Linked DNA regions of Elephas maximus indicus. Each later gene encodes a partner of the first gene's protein in a complex. Links are inferred from orthologs where the notes say so. Each region holds a gene or a part of one and is shown in the gene's direction. Other genes may lie near its edges.

Evidence for each region.
Region 2: SNRNP40 (region 1) and LSM5 share a complex: the UniProt entries of both Homo sapiens proteins name them as parts of the U4/U6-U5 tri-snRNP complex. The link is inferred for Elephas maximus indicus from reciprocal best matches to the Homo sapiens genes SNRNP40 and LSM5.
Region 3: SNRNP40 (region 1) and LSM6 share a complex: the UniProt entries of both Homo sapiens proteins name them as parts of the U4/U6-U5 tri-snRNP complex. The link is inferred for Elephas maximus indicus from reciprocal best matches to the Homo sapiens genes SNRNP40 and LSM6.
Region 4: SNRNP40 (region 1) and LSM7 share a complex: the UniProt entries of both Homo sapiens proteins name them as parts of the U4/U6-U5 tri-snRNP complex. The link is inferred for Elephas maximus indicus from reciprocal best matches to the Homo sapiens genes SNRNP40 and LSM7.

Annotation. Positions count from the first base shown.
Region 1 is NC_064821.1:72,228,321-72,236,196, reverse strand, and holds the start of SNRNP40 (U5 small nuclear ribonucleoprotein 40 kDa protein), read left to right. Parts: upstream 1-4,860; 5' UTR 4,861-4,905; coding exon 4,906-5,040; intron 5,041-7,876. UniProt on the Homo sapiens protein: Required for pre-mRNA splicing as component of the activated spliceosome. Component of the U5 small nuclear ribonucleoprotein (snRNP) complex and the U4/U6-U5 tri-snRNP complex, building blocks of the spliceosome.
Region 2 is NC_064826.1:94,010,417-94,017,417, reverse strand, and holds the start of LSM5 (U6 snRNA-associated Sm-like protein LSm5), read left to right. Parts: upstream 1-3,983; 5' UTR 3,984-4,040; coding exon 4,041-4,086; intron 4,087-5,322; coding exon 5,323-5,418; intron 5,419-5,736; coding exon 5,737-5,764; intron 5,765-6,688; coding exon 6,689-6,761; intron 6,762-7,001. UniProt on the Homo sapiens protein: Plays a role in pre-mRNA splicing as component of the U4/U6-U5 tri-snRNP complex that is involved in spliceosome assembly, and as component of the precatalytic spliceosome (spliceosome B complex).
Region 3 is NC_064831.1:38,672,480-38,679,737, reverse strand, and holds the start of LSM6 (U6 snRNA-associated Sm-like protein LSm6), read left to right. Parts: upstream 1-4,240; 5' UTR 4,241-4,358; intron 4,359-5,967; 5' UTR 5,968-6,071; intron 6,072-7,258. UniProt on the Homo sapiens protein: Plays a role in pre-mRNA splicing as component of the U4/U6-U5 tri-snRNP complex that is involved in spliceosome assembly, and as component of the precatalytic spliceosome (spliceosome B complex).
Region 4 is NC_064821.1:3,112,612-3,120,019, reverse strand, and holds the start of LSM7 (U6 snRNA-associated Sm-like protein LSm7), read left to right. Parts: upstream 1-4,389; 5' UTR 4,390-4,411; coding exon 4,412-4,417; intron 4,418-4,499; coding exon 4,500-4,590; intron 4,591-6,636; coding exon 6,637-6,708; intron 6,709-7,408. Other genes in the region: SPPL2B (signal peptide peptidase-like 2B), read right to left, coding at 4,189-4,257. UniProt on the Homo sapiens protein: Plays a role in pre-mRNA splicing as component of the U4/U6-U5 tri-snRNP complex that is involved in spliceosome assembly, and as component of the precatalytic spliceosome (spliceosome B complex).

The DNA of each region.
Region 1 (7,876 bases):
TGGTGGGGGCAAGTGGATGTGACTGGAGGAATGCCTGCTTGACAGAATATTCTGCTTTGATCCAGTTTATATATATATTAAGCTTCTGTATAAGATTTCAGTTGGAAAAAAAGCTTTGATTCTTTAAAAAAAGTTAAAAAAAAAACCAAAACTTTGAGATATAGTCTAGTCAGAAAGAACCACTCCAAATGGTGCACTTTCATCGTTGTCAATTTACTTGCACCATTAGGAGTTGCCTTGCAATAGTTCTCAAGGCAGAAAATCTTCCCTGAGTGCTTCATTTCATTTGAGCACTTTAAACAATTGTACAATGTCGGGAAGCAACAAAGACTCAGTTTTTCTACCCTCAAGGGGCACAGCAAGGAAAGTGTCAGGGAGAGGGGGAACAGTAGAGAAATGGTAGCCCAGAGCCAGGTCAAAGCTGGCTGTAGAGGAAATCTGCAAAGACGAGCAACCCAGTGTGGGGAGGAGCAAGGTAACTGATAAGGTGTCCACACATTGGGGTGGCCCAGAATGGACATCCAGAGCCTAAACGTGGAGAGGAGGATTAGAGATAGTAATGCAATGTTAATTTTCTGATTTTAATAGTATATTGTGGTTATGTAGGAGAATGTCCTTGTTTGTAGGAAAAACTAAATCATTCAGGGGTGATGGGGCCCCAGGTCAACAACTTAACTCTCAATGTTATTTGTACTATACCTCCATAATTTTGTGATTGTTTCAAAGTTAAAAAAAAAAAAAAAAAGTGCACGCATTTGGAAAAAAAAAAAAAAACACAGCCTGTCCTCCCTTCCAACAAGAAATAAGAAGTTTTTAGAATAATATTAAATTAGTGAGATACTCTACAGCTTCTTTGGAATGTCATTTCATGTGTTACCATACTGACCTGGTCTAGATTTTTGTTGTTGTTTTTAAGTCTGCGTTGATTTAGATTTCTTTTTGTTGTTTTTTTATAACACTAATTAACTAGAAGCCTGAAGGAATTAAAGAGATGTTAACTTTAACCTAAGTAAAAGAATTCAGAGGAGTATCAGCTAACACTGGGATATAAACAAAGACAGAATAATTCCAGAACCTACATTCTTAACCATTATGCTACACTGCCTCAAAAAGAATGCATAGTCCACATTTAAATTTTGTAGAGTACAGCTCTAACACTAACTAGGTCCCACCACTGGAGGAATCAATATAGAGTAATCAGAAGGGCATCGTTCATGGAGAAAGCTAGGATGAGCAGAGTCTGGATTCATTCATTCAAACATGAAACCAAGGACCATTTCTTATTTAATCTTGAGGTCCTGATATACAGTGGGTACTCAAAGACTTCTTGAATGAACGAACAAAGCTTACTATAAATCAAGCAGAGGTAAAGAAAGAAGGCAGAAAGCGTTCTAGTGTCTAAAAGATACAGGAGGAGAAGGAATTTGAGTCCCACATGTTGGATATGCCAGCAGATGGGAAACTTTCAAATGCCAAATTGGTGGCCTAACCTTCCTCCTTCCCACCAAATTTCTAAAATGACTATCCTAGACACGTGCTTCTTCCCTGTCAAGTTCACTATCTTATACAGGTGTTTCTTCCTTAAGAAAGTAGTCAAAAGGAGGGAAGAAGAATAGTAAAAAGCCAGGAAAAGCACAAAAGGTAGACTCATAAAATGTAAAAGTTGAAGGGAATTATATTATTAAGCTTTTTTTTTTTTAACTGAAATTGAGGCTAACAGAAGTCAAGTGATTTGAAAAAGGCTGCTGAGTTACCAGAGTTGTTACTAAACCCAGGACCAGTACTTACTCTACTGCCTCACACTGTTCTTTCAGGCAATAATCCCTAAGGTCCCTTCCAAGTACTCTAATAACAACAGTTAAAATTTGAGTGTTTCCGATTTGCCATGTATTAATCTAAGAGCTCTACTTGTCTTAACCAATTTAATCCTCTTTTTGACCACCCTATGAGATGGCAATTATCACTGCCATCTTAGAGATAAAGAAACTAAGACACAAGAAAAGCTACGTAACTTGCCCAAGATTACAAAACTATGAATGATAGAGATGGGATTCAAATCCTATCATCCTCTTTGTGAACATGTTTTCCTCCCTTTCTAGATTGTGAAATTCTTGTCGGCATGCCCTTGTCTTGCACATCACCATATCCTCCCGCCCCCAATCCCCAGTGCCTAACACAGAATAAGGCACATAGAAATTCATAACTGGCTGCTGAAAATACTGAAGTACTTGATGTTACCCTATTTTAAATTGTTAGTTAATTCATCAACTCAGCACAATATTTATTGATGCTTATATGCCAGGCCTTGTGCTAGGTACTTTACAAACCTAATTTTAATTCTTAAAAAAACTCTACAAAATAGGTATCTCCATTTTGCAGAAATGAAGTAACTTGTCCAAAGCCACACAGCTAGAAAGAAACAAATCTCAGGCAATTCCAAAGGCTAAGCACACGTGCCACTAAACTACCCTTTCAACGCAGTCCCTATCCTCTAAAATCTCCTAGTCTGGTAGGGATGATGATGAAACTATTTATAACACAGCGTGGTCAGTGCTAAAGTAATGGCTAGGTTCAAGATAATGAACAAACAAGGAACAAAGAAAAGACCTGAGAGAAGCAGGGAAGTTCAGAGATGACAACTAAGTAGGCCTTTAAGGATAAATGGGTATCTCCAAGAAGAGACTACTGTTGTTTGACCACATAAGAACCCTGAGGTACTGGCCTCTATTTTCTTCCCATCTATCAGCCCTCGCCTTTTTCTTCGCTTTCTTCCCTGTCCATCTTAGATTCCAGTCCATCATTCAAGTAATACCCTTAACTTTACCTTTTTATAGCTTACCTATCTGGCAGTACCCCTACTCTGTTGGGGAACAGTTGCAGACAACAGAATCAACTGTAGCTAGGTTAAGAAGAGATTTACTGCCAGGTATTATGTGGCTTTCAAAATTACTAGAAGGGTGATAGAAGCAGGCTCTGACAGAACTTGCAGGAACAACTCCTAACCTACAACAAAGCACACCAGCTTTGCCACCCAGATCAAGAAACTAATGGCTATCACTGCATAAAGTCACCAAACCAGCGAACTGTTGACTGGAAAAACTCATTGCCTCTGCCATTAACTGTCAGCAAATTATGCCTTGAACTCTGCTTCTCTCTACATTTAGCTCAGTTCCAAATCCAATTCTCAGCTTCAAGAGTCAAATAGTTTTTAGCTTTCCAGCTCTTCAGTAAGATACAGTACATTAGAAGTTGGAACGTGTGTTGTGTGAGCCAAATCCACAGTCCTTGCCATACCTGGATATGCTTTCTCCATGCCTGGACTAAAAAGCCTGGTGTTGCCAGAAAAAAATTTATGATCTCCAGTCTCAAAATGGGTTCTTAACTCTGCCTGGAAATCCTACATTTCTCTGGTGAACTCACTCTCCCAACCTCAGGAAACGGTAACACCATCTATTCAGCTGTAGAAGCCAGAAACCTAGGCGTTATCTTTGATTCCCCTCTCTTCTCTCCCTGAATCCAGGTTCTACCCACTTCACCTTCTATAAATCTCTAGAATATCCTTGCCAACATCTCTCAAAGGACTACTGTATATCCCTCTAAGTGGTCTATCTGCATCTCCCAGGGCTCCCCTCCAATCTATTCACACCACTAACCCAGAGATCAAGCCACCCGCAAAACCCTCAATGACTGCCCATCAGTCTTAAAGCAAAACTACAAATTCCTATAAAGTGTGATCTTCTAACCACCTTCCACTTCATCTTGCCATACTCTCCTTCATTCGCTTTGTACCAGCCACTCTGGCCTGTTCGTGCCTTTTAGTCATTTTGTTCCCACCACCATAGGGCCTCTACACATGCCGTTCTGTATGGAATGTTTCGCCTTCCCTTCTTCACCTAATTAGAATTCTTCCCTCAGATACCAGCTTAAGCATCTTTTTCTCAGAGAAGTCTTCCTGCTTATTTCAGGCACTCAGAGCAACAGCTACCTCTCCTAGGTAGCACTTCCTTTTCCTCACCAGACTCAAACTCTCTGAGGTCAGGGATCATGTTGGTTCATACTGTATCCCCAGTGCTTTGCACAATAAATATCTGTTGGATGATTAAGAGAAGGCCTAGTTCACAGGTATGGGTCTCAAATATCTAAACAATACTGGCCTCTCAAGAAGTCGGAGGTGAACCCTTTCTTCATCTCTCTCTCTCAGAGGCACACAGCAGGCCATAACAAAAAGCTGCATAGTCAGTGGCAGAAACAAGTGTCGCCTCCTCAGTCAGAATGAACACTGGTGGAGGCAGGGAGACAGGCCTTTTCTCCCAGGGCTGAACACAATTAGTCCCTTGTTGAAAAAGTCAGCCAGCAAGGACCCCCGGGAAACCGCAGGATCTGGGTCCTGCCGCCAAGAGACCCCAAAGCTCTGCTCCTGCCTGGAAAGAGAATTGAGGCTGCTACTTACCAGGGCTCCAAACTCGGGCCTGCCTCCCACCCTTTTCAACCTGCATCTTCACCTGAAAAAAGCCAAACTCAGACCCTACTACCGAGATGCGACCTCCAGAGTCCCGCAGCCACCCCCGATCTTCCTTACACTTACTCGCTGTTAGCTCCAGGTCGCCCAGCCACTGCACTGCGCGAAAAGCCAAACCCTCTCAGCGCGCTTCCACCCACAAGACACAGCGCGCCTAGGCGAGACTCCAGCTCCATCCGCCAATCCTGGAGCCGTACTCTAGCGACGTCAGGAAGAGCCGCCCAATAACAAGAGACTATCCGGAAAGAGCGCAGGTAGGAGCCTTGGAAACCGATTGGTTTCTCCAAGCCGGAAGTTCCGGGGGAAGAACTAAGTAGGAACCAATCGCTTGGTCCCTGTGTGTGTCGGCGCGGCCAGTGCCGGTGCTGAGGAGAGTGGCTGCCGCCATGATAGAACAGCAGAAGCGAAAGGGCCCAGAGTTACCCCTGGTTCCAGTCAAGCGGCAGCGGCATGACTTGCTGTTGGGAGCGGCGGGGTCGGGCCCCGGAGCTGGACAGCAGCAAGGAGCTTTGCTGCAAGCGGTAAGTGAAGGAGTAGGCGGCCTTCGGCCCTCAGCTCATCCTCCTCTCTCCTCGGACCTCTGCACTAGGTGGCCCCGAACCGGCCTTTCCACACGCTGAGAGGGGAGGAATGAGAATCTGTATATGGAGTTAAAGCAGGAAATTCTGTAAAAGCGCTTGACAACCTGCATACGTTCAGTATGTGTTTTCGCGTTTGACACCTCGTCACCGTCTCGACAGCCCTGTGAGGTGGCGTTAGAATTGTAGTTTAAGAGCCTTGGGCTTATTGTCGGGACCCGAACTTACGCATCCTAAAATTTCGGGAGATCTGGCATAAAATAAGCATTCAGTAAAAGTTTGTAGAGCGAATGAATGAGTGAGGTAAGGAAGAAAATGAATGATACTGGCTCGCTGTGGAACTTAGGACAAGTTGCTTTTTTCTTTTTCAACTTCCCTTTATTTCTTTGCACTGGTATTAACTACTAGTACTCTTGTCAATTAAGATCAGTTGCAAAAGATCTCCTTGAAGTGTTAAAAAGCAAAGATGTCTCCTTGAGAACTAAGATATGTCTGACCCAAGTTATGGTATTTTCTATGGCCTCGTGTGCATGCAAAAGCTGGACAAAGAATAAGGAAGACTGAAGAATTGATGCATTTGAATTATGATGTTGGTGAAGAATATTGAATATACCATGGACTGCCAGAAGAACAAACAAACCTGTCTGGAAAAAGTACAGCCAAGAACGCTCCTTAGAAATGAATAGTGAAACTTTGTCTCGCTTAGTTTGGACTTGTTATCTGGAGGGACCAGTCTCTGGAGAAGGACGTCATGCTTGGTAAAGTAGAAGATACGGAAAAAGCAGAAGTCCCTCAACAAGGTGGATTGACACAGTGGCTGCAACAATGGGCTCAAACATAGCAACAAGTATGAGGATGGCCCAGGACTGGGCAGTGTTTCATTTTGTTGTACATGGAGTTGCTATGAGTTGGAACCAACTCAAGGGCACCTAACAACAACAGTAGTATTATTAACAATAGCTAACATTCACTGAGCTCCTGTGCCGAGTGCTTTGTATATATAATCCCCGCTAATAATGGTAGCATCTTAAGAGTTAGGAACTGTTATTATCCTATTTTGCAGATGAGAAAACAGACTTAACTAGTAGTTTCCCGTTTAACAACTTCTACAAAATTTGTTCAGCGATCTTGGTTACATTTTACACTTTGTGTCTACTTTATCCTAATCAGGACTTTGAACCGGTTCAAGCCATGGCTGAGGAAGCAGAACTGAAAGACTCAAAATTTGGGTGAAGTAGAATGGGAAAGATTATGGATCGAAGCCCTGGGATCAGAGACTCAGAAGAGGCATAGTGAGCCTTTTCAGGAGCCTTATCGGGAGATTCAATTATTGCCAGGACTGTGGAGGGTGACACACTTTCAAAGTGGCACAGGCTACCGTCTTTGAGCTGGGCACTGCTGTTCCCAGTTTTGACAGTCAAAATACTTGGTTGTTATGTAATGTGCATGCTGTCCTTGTTTTCTAGAGGGAGATTAAGTTTCTAGCAGGGCTTCAACCTGTAATTTTTCCCAATCCGCTTCACTCACATTTTAAAAATTCAAGTCCGTTTGGGTTTCACTGCATCGGCCATGACTGCACATTATTTCTGTTCTCGGTGCTTCCGATGGTCTAGTTTCCCGCCCCCTTGCGTTCTCATCTTTGTTTTAGAGTAAGTGTTGACCATCTGGTCTCATATAGGTGATTTTTTTAAAGGAGCATAGTACTCACGGAAGATGTTGTTTATTTTATGTGCCAATATATTACTTAGCTAAAAGATGACCTCACGGGATAGTTTTGGTTCCAGGTTTAAAGAATATCTCAGGGCGATAGTCTTGGGGAGTCCTCCAGTCTCAACTAGTCCAGTAAGTCTGACTTTTTAAGAATTTGAGTTACGTTCCAGATTTTGTTCCCGTTCTGTCAGATCTATCTATTGTGGATCTGATCAGAACAGTGAGTAGTGGTAGCCAGGCACCATCTAGTTCTTTCGGTCTCAGGGTAGAAGAGATTGTGGTTTGTTCAGACTGTTAGTCCTGTGGACCAGTTTCTTCTCTGAGTCTTTGGTTTTTTCATTCTCTTTTTCTCTGGATGAGTAGAGACCAATAGTTGTATCTTAGATGGCCACCCTCAAGCTCTTAAGGCCCTGGACGCTACTTCTCAAACTAGGGTGTAGAACATAAACTTTATGTACCTTATTATGCCAACTGACCGAGTTGTCCCCCAAGACTATGGTCCTAAGCCTTCACCCCGTAAACCAATCCTGCAACATGTTTATAAGTATCTGTGTTTTTGCTGCCTATGTGGTTTATTGTGTATATGAATATATATGGATACGTACTTACACGCCCACACCGATATACACCTGCATATTAAAAAAAAAAATCAAACCCATTGCCATCGAGTTGATTTCGACTCTTAGTGACCCTATAGAACAGAGTAGAACTGCCCCACAGGGTTTCCAAGGAGTGCCTGGTGGGTTCGAACTGCCAACGTTTTGGTTAGCAGCTGTAGCTTTTAACGTATATGCCCACTGTATACGTAAATATACATACCTGTGCACTTGTATGCATACACATGTATCTACACTCCTATTGTTGCACAGTTGTATATGTCCTAGCGTTTACCAAAAACGTCCTTTTTCCTTGCATACTTCTAATGACATCATTTGCCCTGGTCAGACTCTGCAAACCCTGGTGGCATAGTGGTTAAGTGCTACGGCTGCTAACCAAAGGGTCGGCAGTTTGAATCCACCAGGCACTCCTTGGAAAGCCTACGGGGCAGTTCTACTCTGTCCTATAGGGT
Region 2 (7,001 bases), on another chromosome or scaffold:
ACTTGATTTTTCGGATCTTTTGTGTAAGAGGGATCACGGGAAGCATCTGGCTATTCCGCCATCTTGGCCCCGTCTCCCCCTCCCTGCACTCTTAATTGTTTGATAACCTGGAAGCATATTGGTACAGCTATGTATCTGTTTATTCAGCCTTTTGAATTACTTGTTTATTCAAGATTTCTCTTTTACTTGTTTTAGATTTTTTCCCTCTCATTTAAATATTATGTATGGGAATTTGGAAGCCTTTTAAGGCCTGAAGCAGAACATCCTTGACATAAAGGAATTTTACAGTGAGACCTGTCACCTGATTATTCTAGTCCGCTGAATTTTTTAAAGTATTGTTTTCATTCTGCCCTTTTCTGGGCTTAGCATTCTGGTCAACACGAAACATATGGGATTGGTTGTGACCAGGGTTTTATATTTCTTTAGTGATTGTACTACTTTTTTTTTAAAGCATCGTTTCCATCAGTTTAAAGTGAATAACGGAAGTACCAACAGATTCAGCAAGTTTTATCCAGGGCACCCTTGGAATAACCTGAAGAATAGGTGCCCACTTCAAATGGAATTTGAGATTACTACCATAACTGGCTGTGGAGTTTACCATTACTATTTACACATCCCTTATTATTTTTTTATTTTAGGCAACCTTAGTAGTTGATATTTTCTACTCCTGGCTTTGAAATTTAAGGATCTGAATTCTAAGCATAGCTGAAGAAAACAGCAGACTTCCTAAAATCAAGTTTGGTTTCTACAATTCAGTAGAAATGTCTTAATACTAATAAAAATATTATGGATTTTTTCAAGATGTTACTATCCATTTCTTTTCTATATTTCAAAATTCTCAGCATTGGCTCACAACTGTGAGTGAAGCTACTATTCCGTATATGCAGAATATGTTAACTGTTTTTTTGCATCTGCTTCAGTATTCTCTACAACTGGCATCACTAAAATTAAACACTAAGCGTTGTTTTAAAAAGATTAAAAACAAGGTATCTTAGAACTCTGTATTGACAGTGTAATGCCAGCTTGTTTAATTCACTGTCCAGGAGATCTAGTAACAGTTTTATAAAAATGTGAGTCACTTTGCATCCTAGATGTTTCAACTAAGATTAAATCATGTATTCATAATGATATGTTGCTTAAATGTTTAAAAAAATGTCATTTAGAAGAATGCTATAAACAAAGGAAATATATTACTGGGCAAAACGGGAGAGAAAATATGCAAGGGAATTTCCAGGATTTTATCCATTTCTGAATGTACAGACCAGTCCATTTACTAGTTTAGAATAACAATTCTTTAAATTAGCTTTTATGTGAGTTGTGTTAATACAGAATGAATCCATTTTCAAGGTATTGTTCACAAGGACAAGTATCTGCTGGGAAAATAAATTTTTCCTTTGTTTTCAAAAGTGTTGGAAGAAGATTAGTGAAATTGAAATACCAATTTGAGATAACTGAATACTTTCTAAACATTATTTTAAAAGGAAACTTTTGGTTGTATTTTTATAATGGCATTTATCTCCAAGAGAAAAATTAGGAATGCCTTTCTGAACACATAGTACATCAGATAGCCTCTTCTAGTTACATACATTTCATGATGAATTATAAATTCTATTTTGTCTACTCTGTAAACAACCTAAAGGAAGAAAAATCCTTGAGATTGAAAACGAAGTCTCCATCTGGAATTGACCCGTTGTTTCTTTTTGTGCCTTTCATCAGGAAAGAACACAATCAAATAAAATCACTCCCCTCCTGCAATCTTCATTAACACTATTATGTAAATGAACAATAGTTCCTTCTATAGAGTCTAAAGAGATTTTCTTTTTTCTTCATTAAATGCACTGAAAATTGCTAATGTTCATTCTGTTCTTGTAGAGGAAAACAAAGTGCAAACCAGGCTCCCTTTGAAAAGCATATTTTTCTGATTTTTAAAAATTCTATCAAGTAGCAGAAACATAATAATGCCTAGAATTTGGTTCAGGCTGCATGAGGAAGCAGTGTCCAACAGTGACACTAGTTATTCTTTTCTTCCACTAGGAAAACATGCATCTGCCAAGTTGAGAATCTAGGGATTGGGAGCCCTGGTGGTGTAGTGGTTGAGAGCTACTGCTGCTGACAAAATGGTGGGCAGTTCTAATCTACCAGCCGCTTCTTGGAAACCCTCTGGGGCAGTTCTACTCTGTCCTATATGGTCGCTATAAGTCGGAGTCAACTCGGGGGCAATGGGTTGTTGTTTTTTAGCAGTAATGAATGCTCAGGTGTGTTATAGAGTAAAAACATCACAAAATTTAGTAAAGCAAAAAGGAAGTTTTATCAGCATATATTCAAAAAGGCAAAAGTGGGAAGCAGACAGGCATGCTGCCAGAGCTAATGTCTGCCCACGTCCAAGGAAATATTACAGAATAGACAAAAGTGGGAAAATGGACAAGCATGCTGCCACAGCCATGTCTGTCCAAGTCCAAGGAAATATTACAGAATAGGCAAGAATGGGAAAACGGACAAGCATGGTGCCACAGCCATGTCTGCCCGAGTCCAAGGAACATTACAGAATCATCAGTATATATTAACATCACAAACGGGCAAAACCATTGAAAGCTTCACCTTTTCACAGATTGGCTAGAAACTGTGATCCTACATTTTGAATTGCCTTTCTTAACAATCATTGATACAGGTTTCAGTAATAACACTCAGGAGGGTCTCGATTGGTCCAACCAATTTTCTATTCACTAAAGGCTAATACAAAAAGATAAAGAGTGGAAAGTCTTTTGTGTTCTGTTTGAATGGTTTACGTGAAAGGTTCACTAAAAGGTATTTTCCGAAATTATCCTAGCTATTGTCTTTATGCCTCAGGGCCCAGTTGATGTGCCCTTGTAAGTCCTTCTGAGCCCAGCTCCAGCTGGGTCACATTCTCTATGCTCAAGGACAGGGAATAATGATTCCAATATTATTTCCTAAATCAGGTGCTAGGTGAGACTAGCAATGGCTGTGATGGTTAAGTTCATGTGTCAACCTGACTGGGCCATGATTCATGGTCCTTTGGCAGTTACATAATGATGCAGTCATTCTCCATTTTGTAATCTGATGTGGGCATCTTCCGTTTTCAATTAATGACGATTTTTGCATAACAACTTGGTCTTTGAACCTAATCATGTTGACAAGTGAGTAGGTGTAATGCATATCTGTCAATGAATGAATGATGGGTGCTTAACAACCATTTGCTGTATGAATGAATGATGTTCTTTGTGATCCCTCATATTTAGACTATTTTGCCTGAGGTTCCTAGGACATGAATATAAAATAGAATAAGGCAGGGAATTTGTTTGCTATTATTTTCAAAACAAGTACAAAGTGCTATGGTTTTCCCATATGACATTAACATATAATTTAGAGTGACAGCTCGTGGTTGCTCTTAGTGTTCATTGAAGAAAGAGTAAAAAAAAGCCACATAGTATAAATTAAATTCTTAGATGTAACATGGTAAACACGTTGAATTAAATCAATTAGTAAAGAAACAAATTAAATCCCCACCACAGAAAAGTGAAAAAAAAAAAGGTTGGTTGTGGGTTTTCAATCCACTGGACTTTTAAAAGAAATAGTAAGCCCCCTTAACAAAACAGATTTTACAAAAATTGCAACACAGTGAGTTGGTGGCGAGAAAAATGAATTGACTTACTGGTCTGAAGAAAGATGCCCGACTTGTGAAGAGAGAGAACTTTCTGAAGAAAAATACAACGAAATTAAAGACTTTAAAATTTTCCAAAATCTTCCGGGTTAGAAGGAGAATTTATTCACAAGCCAAGATATCTTTAACATGCCTCCGAAACTTCGAGGAAAGAGAGGGTACCTCTCTAAGAGAAAAGTTCAGCGGACATAGATACCTCACCCGAAAGAAGCGAGTGTGCGCGATCTACAGGGCCTGGGCCCGATCGCTCTCTCGGCCTCAGATTGGTCAGGCCTGCCCGCGCAGGGGAAGAAAGCGGAAGCGCGCTCTTTCAAACTTGCCCTCCCTACCGCGATAGACGCAGGCCACTTCCGGCGCAGCCATGGCGGCTAACGCCACCACCAACCCGTCGCAGCTGCTGCCGCTAGGTAACCTTTCACGGGGGGCCGGGCGGGGAGCTGAAGTTCAAGATTGGGGGCAGAGGCGCTGCGACTAAGGTGGCGAAGTGTGGGGAAAAGTGTATCCGGCTTTTTCCTTCTGCTCCAAGTCTGTGGCCCCTGACCGCTCCTGCCTCAGCGTGATAGGTTCGCTTGAGGCAGCAACTTTTGACTCCCCAAACCAAACCGTCTCCGGAGAAAGGTTTATGCTTAATGAACTGAACGTGTAACCTGCCGTTGTTGTGAGCTCGTCTCTATCGTGTCTTGGGTAGCGGCCTCCCCCCACCCCCCAAACCTAGCATTTAAGATCTTCAGAGTAGGCTTTGTCTTATTTTATGTCTGGCCGGTTATTGAGGGAAGGTCAGGAATGAAATTTAAAAGAGGAATCTGGAAACTGGTTCCAGTTGTCATTCATTCAGCAAACGGTTATTGGAGCGTCTACTGTGCGCCATCCACCACAGAGATCATAACGACACTATTCAGCAGTATTCAGCAATTCAAATCACAGTCTTTTTCTTAAAATAATGCAGAAAACAGTGGAGGGAATGGATACTGAGCATTGTGCCGAATAGTGCTGAACTGGCTCAGTAGATATTCAAGCTGCTGTCAGAGTTCAGAGAATAGCCCTCGGTTGGGTGAGGCAGGTAGTGATAGGAATCTCTGATGAAGATAATTATACTCCTCTCTCCCCTAATATTTCGAGACTGGGAAGAGTGACCAAGTTAATAGACGAGGCTGTGCTTGAAAAGTTTCTATTCCTTCATTTGACACTCTTTGAGTGCCCGGTTGATTGCAGGCACGGCCGTTGTGAGTTGGAATTGACTTGTCGGCAACCGGTTTCTCTCTCTCTCTTTTTTTTTTTGCGGGGGGGGGGGTTGTCCATTGGGGATACAGTGATGAGCAGAAACAAGCACGGTCTCTACCCTCGTGGAGCTTAGAGTCTAGTAGGCAGTTCATATATTATTAAATAACCTAAAACACAGAAGTGCAACCATGGTAAATTGCTACAAGGGAGAGTTAAGTAGAGATCAAGGGAAACTTTTCTGTTAATGATCGAACAGAGATTTGTAATATAAGAGCTAAAGTTGTTGAATGAATATTTTTCCTGGTTTGTCTTTCACTATATGCAAGTTATTGAGTGCCAGTAGGCACTCAAATATTTGTTGAAGTAATGAATTGCTGAAATAATCTTTTTCCTCTCTCTTTTTTTCCTCAATATATTCTTAGAGCTTGTGGACAAGTGTATAGGATCAAGAATTCACATTGTGATGAAGAGTGATAAGGAAATTGTTGGCACGCTTCTAGGCTTTGATGACTTTGTCAGTATCCTTTTAAAAGGTGGTGGATAGGTTTTTCTTAGGTATTTAATAACGTAAGTAAGAACTATAGATAATCAGTATTTACTAATTATTATATTAGAGATCAGTTCACTCTTGGGGAACTTGTGGTAACATTTTAAGAGATGTATGTACTGAATCGACTTGACAGCAGCAGGTATGTACTGACCGAAGATAAAGTTTCTACCAATAACGAGAGTTGAAAATTTAAGTCATTGTGTTAAATGTTATCACTAAAATTGAACAAAGACAAGACAGAGTAAATTCAGACAGGTATGTTTATTTTCCTAACACCAAATTTCAGATATGGTATTGGAAGACGTCACTGAGTTGTAAGTAGTGTTAAAAATGAAAAGTTTGGAGGAGTATTGCTCTTCTTAATTTAAGGCAATTTTAATACTATCGAGTCAGTAAAATGATTTACAAGTAAATATTGCCTGTTGGCATTATCTTAAAGATGGAAATTTTATCTACTGATGCTAGTAAAATTAGATCAGAGGGTTATTAATATAATTATTATCATGTTGCTAGGAAATTAGTAGAGACAAATCTTTAAGATGAATGATACTAAAAACTGCTCAGGTCAAATAAAAGACTGGTAATAAAAACGTTTAACTGTGTAACATAAAATGTAAATGATGGCTCAGTTGTGTTAATTATATAGATCATGACCAATATCTCTGCTTTCAAAATTGAACTGATTACAAATTGCTTTAATGGCTGGGAGAAGCCCTAGTGGCACAGTGGTTAAAGCGCTTCGCTGCTAAACAAAAGGTTGGTGGTTCTAACCTACTAGCTGTTCTGGGGGAGAAAGATTTGGCAGTCTGCTTCTGTAAAGATTTACAGCCTTGGAAGCCCTATGGGGCAGCTCTACTCTGCCCTATAGGGTCACTGTGAGTCGGAATTGACTGGACGGCAGCGGGTTTGGTTTTTAATGGATGGAGATGAGCAATAATGGATGTGTTAAAGAAAAAGAGTGAAGCTGGTAAATATTTCGTATTTGGCCTCCTTGGCAAGTTTCAGCTTTTTTAATGAAGATCGAACTTAGTGGATGTTAGGCCAGTCAGTTCACTCTTACCTTTAAGGAAGAGTGTACATTACCCAGTGGATAATCTTGATCTTTGAAAGTTTTTGATATAATTGCTTCACCTCACATTTACTTACATAGAAGAATAACCTTTTTAGGGATGGAAAGATTTCAAAATGTTGGCTTTTATTACCACTGTTTAACCTGACTATTTTATCTATTTATTTAGCGAAATCACACCGGAAGGAAGAAGGATTACTAAATTAGATCAGATTTTGCTAAATGGAAATAATATAACAATGGTAAGACACATTGAAGCTAATACTGTTTTATTTAACAGTAGCCCGTTTTTGTAGGACGGTGGTTACAGATCTAACTCCTGATGCTGTTTGTTTGACTAAATGCCCATGGACCAGTATGCTTAGGATGGGAAAGGGATGTTGTGGTAGTCAGGGCGCTAAAGCTGAGCTACTAAATATGGCATTGGGCCTAGAGATTAGCTTGTTTGGCCTTTTTCATTTTGTTAGAAATCACTGTTGAGA
Region 3 (7,258 bases), on another chromosome or scaffold:
GACCTTCAGGTAAGACCGTATTATCCTTTGCTTTATTTTTTTTTAGTAACAATTCATGAAGAAGGCTGTCATTTCCTCAAATTATTTGGGGGGGAAAGATGTGCAAAGAGGACCACGTTGTGTTTGTGAGACAGCTGATCACTTTGTGGGTATGGGTGACCTCCAATAAACATGTCCTAACATTGGCACAGGTTTTGCTACAACAGAAACAACTAGTCTTTGCTGCTGAGAGTTTTAGGTGACAAAAGATGTACTTCTTAGTGCAAGGACTTGAATGACTGCAAAGACATCCATTTATCCTGATATTAGGAAGAAAGGAAAGTCAATTGCTTAAGACAAAAAGTTGAGATGAAAGAGCTTATGCTAAACACATTGGTAATTTTCAGCTCCATTGTGTTTACTAATCCAGGATTGGGGAATATAGCTTCTGGAATATAGTTACTGAAACTAGCATTTGGTCTTCAAATTTTTCGTTCTCCCTGGGTAAAGTCCTGAAATTCTGAAGTTGTTCGTGAACTTGATCCTACTAGTTTATAATGCGACATTTTAACTACATCACTGGGCTTGTGAAAGAAACATTTACACTGCAAAAAAACATATGGATTCGATAACCCACCCTGGAAAATCAAAGACATCTGGGTTTTTTTGCTATAAACATTGTTTGGAAGTCTAAACACAAAGCACCGGTCCAATTCATTAATATTTTGGAATGAATTTAGTTACATATCATAATAGAAATTAGTTGTGCCTAGCCTTTTAGTAGTTAAAAATTTTTTTTTTCATACTATCAGTTAAAACTGGGGCAGTTCTACTATGTCCTGTAGGGTTGCTATGAGTCGAAATCGACTCGACTGCACTGGGTTTTGGATCAGTTAAAACCACATTTGAAAGAAGCATTTTGAAAATTGAAAGTAGTGTTTTAAACAAATTTGGTAGCAGATACTCTAGAAGGGAAAACCCATAAAGATGTAGAAATGTGCTTTTAAGAGTTAAAAGAACGCTATAACTTGGAAACCATTTGACCATGTCTAAAATACTCCTGAGTTTTTTTTTTTATATATACTGTAGTTTATTTACTTTGAACTGGCCATACGGTTTTAATTAGTTTCACTGTGGTAGAATTAGCTTTATTGAAGTAGGTGTACTTCACCGAAAGCTGAACAGCCTTCTGGACCCCAGATTCCCAACATAAACTATAATTCACAAAGGCCAATATGACTCTTTTCTTTGTAGCTGGGTAACCATTTATGTTTGAGGTGAAGATGTTAATATGGAAATTTTGTGAGCTAAGAAAGAGAATGAACACTATCATTCTAATTTATGACCTTTCATAGAAGGCCAAATGTAAAGGCAACTTCAATTGTTTTATATCTCAGGGCTGGCACATAGCAATGTGTGAAATTTGGACCGTTAGACATAAACTTTTATTACCAAATTATAAATAATTTCTCCCACTTATAATGTTCACCTTTCAAGTTCAGCTTGATTAAAATACAAGGGCAGCTTCATAGTGATTTCGCTGAATTATACAGCTCAGAGAGGTTTTCTGGAGTTCATGGTGGAACGAGCAGCAGTAAGCCATTTGGAAGATTCTCTTCATGGTACCTCAGACCCTGAGTACATCTCTTGAAATTCAAGTCATACCAGAATGGTGGCTGGTGAAGTCTGAACATCTATTTAAACACCTTAACTGTTGTGTCTTAAACTTAATGCCTATGATACAGAATACATCCCTTCTTTTGGTATAAATAAAAGGTATACAGAAAAAGGCATTTCCTGGGAAATTTGCATGTCCGTCAATAAGCTTACATTGACTTCTCAGAAGATTTCCAACAACTATAGAATACTTTCCTTTTTCTTTAACAAATAATTTTCATATCCCATGATGAAAGATAGATCACAATGGCCCCAAATACCCACAATTTAGGTGTCACAACTTAGGGTTTAGTTGCTTTTTACTGTTCAGTATTTGAAGGTCCAGTAAAGGAGGTTCCACCCAGTCCATGCCAGCCCTTCATATCAGCTAATACATGGCTCAAACAAGAGCAGCCAGTTTTCTTAGGAGCTTAATATAGAGGCTATGTATTAAAATCTACTTTGGGGACTGTTGGTCAATCCAATTCCAAGTTTGTGTCTATCATCATCCTCATAAATATCAAAATACAATTACCCACATGTTCACAGGACTGTCAGGTATTTTATAAAATAAGCTAGACAGGATGCATTCTCCTATGAACATGGACCATTAAAGGAGATAGCTAGTTAAAGGCATGGATACAAAGAACTGCAGGAAGACGGAACATATAATGAAATGGCAAAAGTTTGTCTTAGTATTTTTGTACCAGCATTTGCCTACTTAGTAGCTTATGTCTGTACTATTCTCTTTATAAAGCCTTTTCGTATACATTTTTTTTCTCGTTTGATTATCACATAATTCCAGGGTAATAAAAGTGGCTTTTATTTTTCCCATTGTAAGATAAAGAAACAGGCTCAGATAAGTTAGTATTTACTGGGCCAGGAAAAGTTTTGCAATTCAGAAGTGGAAGATGCAGAATTCAAACAAAGAAACTTCTCACTTCATAATCCTTATATTTTTAGTTTATCGGACAGAAACCCACATATAAACAGTGCTAGAGATGGTTTTTCTTTTTTTAGAGACAGCTGAACTAAACCTTGTCAAATTATTTTGTGTGTAGGCTTTGAAGACTAGTTCTCTGTGGACTACTATTCCAGAAAAAGTCTTGCATGTTTTCTCTGTATAATACAAGATGCTGGAAACACACACACACACACACACACACACACACACACACACACACAGAGAGAAATCCTGCAAAGTACTGAAAATTGCTTTGTAAATTAGAACACACTGATTCTAAGCTGGGAGAGGGTTCTGAGAATGGTCCCATTTTTAATGAGTTTGTTAACTTGTGAGATAGTTCATGGTGCCGAGCCGTTTGTCTAGTTTGGCCCTTACAGATCAGTGGCCCTTGGACAAGGCTGAAGCTGCTCTGTAGACGAGCCATACCCTCAAAATTCCTGACTGTCCCACCGTACCAATCTTAATGGCTCAGCCACGGCTCTGTGATAAAGGGGAAAGATGCTATGAATCCAAAAAACTAAGTGATACCAGTGAGGAATGTGGTATAATTTGATATCTTCTGTGAAGGGTTTTATATCTTTTTATCTTATTGTGTTTGTTCTTTGCAACTAATTATTTGAATTAAATCGTGCTCTACTTAAGACTTTTTATTTACATTATATTTTATATTGCGAGAACTTCAAGTACAACCTTTTCACTATATCTGTAACTGCTTGGTCTTTATCCAAACTGAGCTTTTATAGAAGGTCTTAAGGAAGTCTCTCTTCACCAGATCACCCTCAGTGGTTCTCTGTCCATGTATTACTCAAAGGCTGATATTTTTCTGAGTTACCCAAGAGAAACTTACAAGAGGGGAACTGATTTTTGCTTTAGGGGGAAAAAAAAAAAATCTGCATCTTAGATCCTGTGATAGTAACAGGTTTAAGGATCTGTTGTTTAAAGATATTAGCACTTAGTTTGTGGTGTAGAAAATCATAAACAGGATTAAAATCAAAGATTTAAACTGATGGGGAAGAATATTGAGAATTCATGCAAAATTCCAAACCAAAGTTCCCAGAGCAGCACTTAAATATCTGCACACATTTCCCATTAGAACTACTGTTGTAATGTAACCCAATTTATGTCATAATAACAAGGAGTTACTTTAGCGATTTTAATTCTTTTTCTATCAATTAACATCGCCATGGAGACAATCTCTTGCTAATAATAACTTCATTTTCTCACATTTAAATCAAAGCATAAAGGTGGATTTAGAGATTTTCAGGCTGTTTGCTTTATTCATTCATTTATTTATTTATTTGCATTATATTATTCAGAGACATTTCTGGGCACGCAAAGTCATTACCTTGCCGAGTAATTTGTAGTTTCCTATGACTTCAAGCTCTTTTTTACATTTATGCAAAGAATTCCTGCGTAAACGATCACTTTCACTTTTTTTGGAGTTGTTTCGTTTTGTTTATTATTATTATGTTTTAAAATACAGTATTCGGCTTTCTGTTAAGAGAGAACACCGCCGCTTTCTACTTTAACTCCATAGACCGGCTTTGCCAGGAGACAAACCAAAACTCTTCGATTTGCGCGCTCCGGTGAGGGCTGGCCTTTTTGGCCCCCGCGGGCTGCCGTAGCCGAGGAAAGCAATGATTGGCTGAGGCGGAAAAGAACCGCTGCCCCGGCGGTTTCGGCGTTCGCAGCGATTGTCTGCCAAGGTCCGGCTAGTGCGGCGTCTGGAATAGAGGTTCTGGGTCCGGGCCGCGAGGTGAGCCGGGCGGCCACGCGAGCTATGGGGGGGGGGGGGGGGGTCGCGCGCAGACTCGGGTTCGAGGCCTCGGTGTTCCGTCGCTTTAGCAGGGTCCGGGGAGCGGCTACTGGTGCAGCCCCAGGCCGGGAGCACCGGAAAGGGCCTGGCGGGAGCAGGGTTCGGGGCCGGCGAGGGTGCGCCCGCCCCAGAGAGTGCTGGGCGTCGGGTCCCCACGGAATGCTGTGCCCTCACGCTCTCCTCAGCCCTTTTAATGGCCGGGAGATCTCCGGTCGTCGGCGCCAGGTTACTTGGAACCACTGCCCGCGAAGCGCTGAGACCGGGAGGTGAGGAATGGCGGTCCTGGGTCCCGCCGAGTTTGCCTCCGAGACTGTTCCTGGTTTTCTAAGCCCTTCGGGGCACCCCGACGCTAACCCAGGAGTTTGGTTAGAAAGCGGACCAGCACAGGCTCAGGGAATTGGGGAGCCTACACTGACGTCCCGGTGGCTGCGCCTGATCCCCAGAAATTAAGAGCTGCACTTCCCTGCTCCAGTCTGCCTCATGGAGTTGTCACGTGGGGGACACCCACAATTGTATGGTGGCAATTCCTACCGCCAGAAATAGTCTTTGCTCACGTACATAGCTGGTATTTTTGTTTGGGGTGTCTGGGATTGGGACGGTGCAGATAATGTTGTTAGTGACAGTGTGTTCCCCTCACCCCCGGTAGTAATATATGCCTCTTGTAGAAAAATTGAAAATACAGAAGCCTTTAGTGAAGAAAGTAATATTTACTGAACACTTCCATCCACAGTTTCTGTATTTCGCTTTTGTATGTGCTGTTTTCTGCTTGAACTAAGACTATACCTATGTTTTTCACTGAAGAGTATATACAGTTTTCCACTTCCATTAAAAAACTTCCTAGATAATGGCTTCTAATTTTGTATTTTCTTTTGGAGGAGCCCTGGTGGCACAGTGGTTAAACTGCTCAGATGCTGTCCACTCCACAGGAGAAAGATGTGGCAGCCTGCTTCTGTAAGATTTACAGGCTTGGAAACTCTATGGGGCGGTTCTGCTCTGTCATATTGGGTCAGTATGAGTCGGGATGGACTGGATGGCAGTGGGTTTGGATCTTCTTTTGACTGGCTGCCTATTCTGTAGTTGCATAGGTTTCATGAATTATTCAGCTGTTTCCCAGTTGGTGAGTTTTTGCTTCGTTTTAATGTCCCAGATAATACTTGAATGAATTTTTTAAAAATTGTATTTCAGAACTAGAGTCTCAGAAATGGAATTATTAGGTTAGATGGTGTGGACATTTTTAAGGGCCTTGATCCACATTGCCAGATTGTTCCCAAAAAAAGTTTTAGTAGTTTACATCTTTCGTTTACGAATGTACCTGTTTGACCAAGTGTTGTAGCTCGTAGTACATTTCTCACACATCAACCAGCGAAGTCAAGCCTCTTCTTGGAATCGTTTTTTGTTAGTGGTGTCCAGCAAGTCTGCTTGCTTGAATTTTGTGCAGGAGTCTTCGGAAACTTGTGTGTGTGTTATTGGTGTTACTGCATAGACTCACTGAATGTTAGAGCAGGAAGATACTGCAGTGATCATCTAGCATAACTCCCTTATTTTGCAGATGAGAAACCGGGGGCCATGAGAGGTGAAGTGATGAGTTATCCAAGCCATGCAGCTAATTAAGTAGCAGAGCTGGGATTAGAACTCAGGTTTCCTGCCTCCCAAGTGAGTACTCTTTATGCTACATCAGGCTCTCTCTCACTGAACTGTGGCATAGTAGGTAATAGAATTTAAAAAGACGTTTATGTCACCTGGATTATTTTATCATTTAAAAACCGTACTGAATAACAAAGAGTTTAACCGTGTGAGGGACCCGTAACACTGAAGAAATTTGTTTGTGGTCATTTGCATGGCCAAGACTAGAAATTCATGGTTTAGCATAGCAACCATTTCAAGATTTTGGCAGTTGTTTTCAAATTCTGTACGTATTGGAACAAAGTATGCCTTTTGTTAGTTGCCATTGACTCAGCTTGGACTCATGGTGACCTTATGTGTAATAGAGCAAAATGTCCAGTCCTGCATATCCCTAATAAGTTATAATTTATATTCCAACTTAGCTGTTGGTTCTCATTAGTTATACCTTGAAGAGTTTTTAAAACTCCTGTTGCTTTAAGACCAAAGAACAATGGTTTTTTGATTTCAGGGCTTATAGCTTGGTTTCTTAACCCCCGTTGACATTTTGATCATTAATCTGTCCTGTGCATTGTAGAATGTTTAGCAACATGCCTGGGCTCTATTTACAGTAGAACCATCCTCCCCCATCATGATAATCAAAAATGTTCCACCCCCAGTTGAGAGCTACTTACATATAGGAGTTATTTGGGAAGCTTTATAAAATGTAGATTAGACTACCTTTGTCTAGAGAGACTGACTTGAAGTTGCTGTTATTAGGTGCCACTGAGTTGGTTCTGCTCATAGCGACCCTGTGTACAACAGAATGAAACACTGCCCGGTCCTGCACCATCCTCACAATTGTAGCTTTGTTTGAGTGCATCATTGTAGCCACTGTGTCAGTCCATCTTGTTGAGGGTCGTCTTCTCTTTTGCTGCCGCTTTATCAAGTCCTTCTCAAGGAACCTGTCTCTTCTGATAACACGTCCAAAGTATGTGAGACGAAGTCTTACCCTCCTCTCTTCTAAAGAGCACTCTGGCTGTACTTCTTCCAAGACAGATCTGTTTGCTCTGCTGGCAGTCCGTGGTATATTCAGTATTCTCTGCCAATACCATAATTCGAAGGCATCAGTTTTTCAGTATTCTTATACATTGTCCAGCTTTCACATGCATATGAGGCCATTGAAAATACCGTAGCTTGGGTCAGGCCCACCTTAGTCCTCAAGGTGATGTATTTGCTTT
Region 4 (7,408 bases), about 69 Mb from region 1:
GCCCCATTGGGTTCAGGGTGGGGACAGCCACAGAGAGGGAAGGTGACAGGGAAGTGAGCCTCCCAGGAACCTGGACACCTGTCTGTCCCCACAGCTGCCTTGCTGGTTCTCAATCTCCACATCTGTGAAATGGGACCAACTGCCTCCTGGGGCCCTCTGGGGTCACTGGACCCAGGAAGGCTGGCGGCTTTCCCAGGAGGCGGGATGGCATGCCAGGCCCCTGCAGGGTGCTGTGTGACCACAGGGCTGGTCAGGATCCCAGAGGCCTTTTGGCGCCTGGAAGGCTTGGGGCCACCGGCACCACACACCTGTGGGGCAGCTGGCTCGGGCCCAGGTGGCACCCTCTGGCCAGCGCCTCCTCACTTTACAGGGTAACAGCAGGTGTCTGGTCACATCACTGCCCTGTGCTCTGGGCACACAGGACCCAACTAGTACTAGAGTCAAGTGCCCACAAGGCTCTCCCGCCTTCCCGACACCCGCGCGCCAGCTCAGCCAAAAGGCCCAAAGTCCCTGCCCCAGCGCGTGACAAGGACAGTGGCTGCGGTCTCAGACCCAGGTCCTGGCTGCTCCACTATATGTGGCCCAGGACAAGGGGCCCAAGGCAGTCCCACCTCTGGGTCTGGGAAGACCCCCTGGGCCTGCCAGGGGAACAATGGGCCTCAGGAGGGCAGTCATGAGCTGGTCACCGTGTCACACCATAACCCTTGGGGCTGTCCCCAAGTTTTCGGCCCTGGAGTCCCTGTGGTGCACTGCTCTCTGTGCTCCTGTGGCCCCTGCCCTTCTCACAGGGCAGGGATGAGCGCCCTGCTCCTCGGGGTCCCCTGGTCCCTGCCCTGGTGACAAAGGGTAGCCTGGACAAGGGGGAGATGAGCCCCACCACTGGGGAGGGCTGACGCCACGGGAGGCGCTTCACCAAGGGCTGAGGCAAGGGCTGACGTGACCAAGGTTCTCTTGGGCCCCAAGGCAGGATAAGGGGTCCCCGTCCCCAACTCCCCCGCAGACACCCTTCAGTCAGCAGTGCACCCTTCCCACAGCCCCAGCGGTCAGTCAGAGCCCCCGGCATCCAGTGAGGCTCTGCCTGGGCTGCTCTGAGAGGACTCACGTTCCACAGCAGGGGTCCGAAGTCTACAGCCCACAGGCCAAACCAGCCCACCTTCTCCTTGTGTAAATAAAGTTGTACCGGCACACAGCTGTGCCCCTCATGTACCTGTGGTCTGTGGCTTTCTCACTATAATGGGCTGAGTAGTGGCAACAGGCGGCACAGCCAGCAGACCAGAAGGTTCCCACAGAACCTTAACTGAAGCCTGCTCCACGGGATCCAGGCTGTGGGTGAAAGGGCCCATTCGTGTAATATGGGAACTGACAGAAACTTCCTTTTACAGAGCTCGTTTAAGGGTGCAGAAGTAGGCTTCACGGATTGCCCTCACAAAATCTGCAAAGCAAACTGGCTTTCCCTTAAAAAAAGGGCTGCGAGCTTTTATCAAACACCGAGAAGGCGCCACCCTCTCGCCTGCTGAGTTACGGGAGCTGGCAGTTCTTCAGTGACACACATTCTACAAACACCCTGAACTCTAGGCTGCTCCATTTGTGCCTGGGGAACCAGAGATACCTAGGACAGGAACAAGGATGGGGGTCTGCCTTCTGACAGTTACCAAGCAGATATAGGAAACTCCAGAATCTCTGTGGAAGTGGCCGACATCCAAGGGGTTTAAAAGACACCAAGGAGCCAGGTTATGGAGCAGTCTTCCTTCAAGAAAACCAGTAAACCAGTGCCCAGGGAGTCGACCCTGCTCCTGGTGGCTGAACTGTGCCCCACAGAGTTTTCAGTGGCTGAGTTTTCGGAAGTAGGTCACCAGGCCTTTCTTCCAAGGTGCCTCTTTGTGGACTTGAACCTCCAGCCTCTCAGTGAGCGGCTGAGCATGTTCACCCTTTGCATGAGCCAAGGACTGTTCCTTCCAAGAACACTTAGTGAAATCTTGGAGACGGTGAAATCATCAGGACCCAAGAATCATGGGAAAAAACACATTAAGGTGGAGGAGGCACAGGTTGAGGCGACAGGACAGCCTTCATATTCCACTTCATATACCTTTCATAGTAAATGGGAGTGGGGAGTGGTATTGGGGAGGTCACTTTTCTTGTCCAGGGTCACAAGACAGTGGCCTGTGAATTCAGGACTGTCACTGAGCAGCCTCCACCCAGCGGGAGAGTTAATCTTACTCCTGGGAGCCAGGAGTCAAATATACCCATTTCCACTACACGACTGAGAAGACGCCCCACAGCACCAGGACTGTGCCCACAAGGGGCCTTAACCAGGGTCCAGGGAGAGCAGGGCCCACTGCTCTCTTTGAGTTGCTCAGAGATTCTCTGTGGCTCACCTTGCTCAGGATAAAGCCAACTCCCCAGCGCTGTGGGCCCTGTGGACTCTGCCCAATCTGACCGTCTGCCTGAAGCCACACCCCCAACTGGCCCCTCCCTGCCGCCTCCTTCAGACCCATGGGAAGGGCCTTTCTCTGGATGTAAGCTCCCTCTCCAAGCACCAGACCATCTTATGCACAGACTACAGTCCTCAAATAATCATCAGCTCTTGTACCTCCTGGCTTTGGTCATGCTACTCCCACTGCCTACAATACCTTTCCTCTCCCTTCCCAACCCAACAAACTCCTATTCATCCTTCAAAACCCTTCTCAGGTGTCACTGCTCCTTAAGAGCTTTCCCAGGCAAATTCACCAGTCATGCCCTCTGTGGCACTCCCATGATTCTTTATCCACCTCTTCTTTTCTGAATCTCATGCAAAACATCTCGAGAGCTCAATGTCCCTGCCCTCAAAGTGTCACAGGCTGGTGAGCGAGGAAGATGAATAACCAGGCAGGTACCACGTGTTCAGTGCTACAATGTGGGCAGTAAGGGGGGGCTGGGGAGAGGGTATCCTGGACAGCTTCTGGGAGGGAGGAACAGGCAAGCAGAGACGGGAAGGATGACTAGGGGTTAACCAGGCCAGGAGTGGAGAAAGCCAGTTCCAGGGTAATAGAAAAGATCAGAGAGCAAAGTGTCACCGATAAAATCTGCATCCTGTCTGAGTCAGGAAGGGAGGGAGGAAGTGGCTCTGTGAGCAGTCACATCACAAAGACCTTTCTAAAGATGAGAAGCCACGCAAAGGCTCTCATCTGGAAGCAACAAGGTCTGACACGCTTCTGGAAAAGATGGCCCCTGCTGTGTGAAGAGTGGACTGGAGGGATTCGGGGGGAGGGACCTGAGTGACCACAGGGAGAGGGGAGGGGAGCCCCAGCAGAGGTGGTGGTGGACAGGCTCCTAAGACGTGTGAGGAGTTAGAGCTGTCAGGCAGGAGTCCTCAACGTTAAAGAGCAGCAGCGAGGTCTCGCTGATCGCGCACCATTCCCAGAGCTGCTGCGTAAGCCAGGACAGACGGGAGGTTTGGAAAAAAGGTGCACTTATGGTTGGTTTTCTGGGTATGACAGACAGCAAGCATCAGCTATCTTGTTATCGGTGCCCCACAAGAAACTGAGATCCTTAACATGAAACGACAAATAAGTAACATATTCAGCCCTCTGCTGGTCCACACTGCTCTTGCCCCCCCTTGTGCAGACAGGTAATTGGTGCTCAAAGCGAGGAACTCCCTTGCCCAAGGTCACAGAGTAAAAGATGGGGCGCAGGATTCCCCCCAGTCCGGGGCTGGGCTCTGAGCCCTGTCGCGACGCTGCCAGGCACGGGGATCCCGCGCTGACCCCCTCCAGGGCCTTCCCCGCTCCCCCGGGGCGTGTGCTAGCATCGCGCTCATTTCGCATAAGAGGAAACTGAGGCTCGGAGAGGCTCAGTCACTGGGCCAAGGCCGCAGAGCCAGAGAGCGGGGTCCTGGGCGGCGGCTGGGGAAGACCCCGAGACGGACAAGCAGGACTCGGGGGGGAGAGGACGGGGGTCCACAACTTTAGCCCGGGCCGGAACTGGGCGATACTGCAGCTAGGGGGGGTTTCCGCGGCGAGGAGGGAGAGGAGCTGGGGACGAGCCCCCAAGGTCACTCCGGGCCCCGGACCCGCGGGGCCGGAGTACGGGGGGCGCGGGGTCCCCGAAGCTGCCCCCAGCCGGGCCGGGCTGGATCCCGAGAGGGTCCCCAGGGGCGCGGGGAAAGGGGAGCCGCAGCGTACGGGGCTCCCGGGACGACGCAGCCCTCACCTGGGCCGCGAGGAGAAACAAGGCCGCCCAGAGCCGCGCCAGCGCCGCCGCCGCCGCCGCCACCGCCATGTCGGCCGGTCCCCGCAGCCGTCGGCTGATGTTTCCCAGCAACGCCCCGGGCGCCGCTGCGCGCAGGCGCGGGGCTGCGCGGCTCCTGTACGCGCGTGGGTGACGTCAAAGGGCGCGCCGGCGGCGCCTGCGCAGAGCGGCGCGGCGCGGCAAGATGGCGGTGGGCGCACGGCGGGACCGGGCGGGCGGCGTGGGGCTGGCGGGGCGTTCTCTCCGCCTCACGCGCTCTGCTTTCCTCGCAGGACAAAGAAAAGAAGAAGAAGGAGAGCATCTTGGACTTATCCAAGTACATCGATAAGACGATCCGGGTGAAGTTTCAAGGAGGCCGCGAAGGTGAGGCAGCCGCTGCCGCCAGCACCCTCTTATAGCTGTTTAAAATAATTAACAAGAGCTACGATAACAACTTAATTTTTAGGCAGCGTTTTCTCCGCTTAGACACTGCTTTAAGGGCTGCACGCGAACTAACTCATACAGTCCTCCTAACAGCGCTGGGAGGTAGATGCCGTTGTGCCCATTTTGCAGATGGGGAGACTGAGGCACGAAGCGGCGAACAGACTTAACCCAAAGTCACAGTGACGCAGCCGGGATTGGGATTCACGAGTTTGCCTCCTGTGCGGTCCTGTCCCTCCAGCTCCCTCCCAGGGGCTTCCGTTCCTGCTCCCTCTACACCAGAGTTCCTCAGCTTGGGCACTGCTGCCTGGAGGGCCGGATCGTTCTCTGGGGTGGGGCAGTCCTGTGCACTATAGAGAGTTGAGCAGCACCCCGATCACCCACTCGATGCCGGTAGAACCCTCCCCCTCCCCCCCCCCAATGATGACAGCTACAAATGTCTCCAGACATTGCAAGTATCCTCTCGGGTAGAATCGCTCCTGGTGAAGAACCCCAGTCCGGCAGTCAATCACCAGTCAGTGGGCAGAGAAATCTGTGAAAAACAGAACTTGAATCTCTGCTCCCTGCTTAAACCCTCCCTTGGCTCCCCATTGTGCCAGGATAAAATCTAAATCTGTATGTCTGAGCAGCACCTGTAGCCACAGGGCTGGAAAGGCACACGTTTGCTTCCTGCCTGGAATACTCTCACCAGGTGAACTGCCAGGCTAACCTGCTCCCAGTTCAAAGGCATTTGTTCTGGGAAGCCTTCCCTGATCCTCCACCTCAGGTCAGTCCCCTTTGTTTTAAGCTCCTAGTAGCACCTGTGGGGAAGACACCGGTGGCTCGGTGATAGAATTCTTGCCTTCCATGTGGGCGACTCAGGTTCATTTCCCAGCCAGTGCACCTCATGTGTAGCCACCACCGACCTGTGGAGGCTCGTGTGTTGCTGTGATGGATGAACAGGTTTCAGCAGAGCTCCCAGACTAAGACAGATTAGAAAGAAATGCCTGGAAATTGACTTCTGAAAATCAGCCAGTGAGAACCCTGTGGATCCAAACGTCTGATCCACAGCTGATTGTGGGGACAGCACAGGACGGGCAGCGTTTTGTTCCTGTGTGGGGTAGTATGGGCGACCGAGGGCGGCTAACAACAAGTACATGTCGCCACCTGCATCTTTATGTTTGCTAACGTGGCACTTAACTCTGCCCTGCGGGGATCTAGTGGTGAAATGGTATGTTCTCTGAGGGCAGGATTCGGCCAGGTTCTGCTCGGTGCCCATGGGCAGAGCAGGGTCACTGCATCCCCAGCCCCCCACCAAGTGCTTGGCTGGCAATATTGCCTTTGATGCTCATCTGAACCCTGTGAGGTGGCTGTCATTATGAGCCCCGTTTTGAAGAGGAGGAAGGACCCCTGCTGGTGCAGTGGGTAAGCACTTGGCTGCTAACCAAAAGGTTAGCAGTTTGAACCCACCAGCCGCTCTGTGGGAGAAAGACCTGGCAATGTACTCCCGTAAAGATTACAGCCTAGAAAATTCTGTGGGGCAGCTCTACTGTGTCCCACGTGGTTGCTGGGAGTCAGAATTGACTCGGTGGCAATGGTTTTGCAGAGGTGGAGCCTGAGGAGGTCACACAGTGGGAAGCCACAGAGTCAAAGCCCAAACCTGGGCAGTCAGGTGGCCGTCCACTCCAGGGGCGGGCAGACTTCTCCATCAAGGGCCAGACAGGGAGTATCTTATTTTTGCACACCAAATGGTCCCTGTCCTGCTGAATGGCTTCCGCCGTTGCTCGTTGGCTTGTCTCGTCTCGTTCTGCTTGGAGCTGGCTATCCCTGTTCTCCTTTCAGGGCTCCTCCCCATTCCCCCTAGTCCCCAGCTTCCTCTTCCCCTGAAAGGTGGTCCTTTGTGGGAGTGTGAACCTGCCTGGCCCTGGGGCACCGAGGATACTCATCCAAAGAATGGATATTGATCTCACGCCTTCTCGTTTCTCCTTTCCTTCTGGTGGTTTCTACAAGCCAGTGGAATCCTGAAAGGGTTTGACCCCCTCCTCAACCTCGTGCTTGATGGCACCATCGAATATATGAGAGGTGAGTTCAGGCCTTGTCCTTTTCGTTTTAAACCCGTGGAACCTATGCCTAAGTTACGGGTACCAAGCCATGTCGACTGGGTAGCTACAGGGTGTTCCATCCCCCACTGGCCCTGGTGTTCCTGCAAAGCCTGTGAAGCTCACGGTCCTAGGTTAAAAGAAATGTTTTGTTACCACATGCAGTGGTCTTTAGGTGCCTATTACCCATTGTTGTCGAGTCGTTTCTGACTCATAGCAACCCTGTGGTACAGAGTAGAACTGCCCTATAGTGTTTGCAAGGAGTGGCTGCTGGATTCAAATTGCCGGCCTTTTGGATAGCAGCCGAGCTCTTAAGCACTGCGCCACCAGGGCTTCAGGTGTGCCTATTAGGTACTTAAAATGTGCCAGGCATGGTTAGAAGGATGACGAGGGAAGGAAGCATGCGGGAGATATAGAGAGCTGGGAGGGGGACTTTGGGGCCTAGCAGGGACCACCGGGCCTGGGCTGAGGACTGCTAAGACACCAGGAGGGTCTTGCCCTTCGGGAGACCAGCAGTGTGGCTGAGACAAGACTGATTCTCCTGGAAAGTTTAACAGCATAATGTCACCACAGAGGTGCGACCTGGCAGGGCAGAGAAGTCCTCTCAGTGGGGAGCCTGCTTCAGGCTGAGCCGCCCACTCCCTCTGGAGCATCCTGGTGGCCCCTCGTTTTCTTTCTTCCAC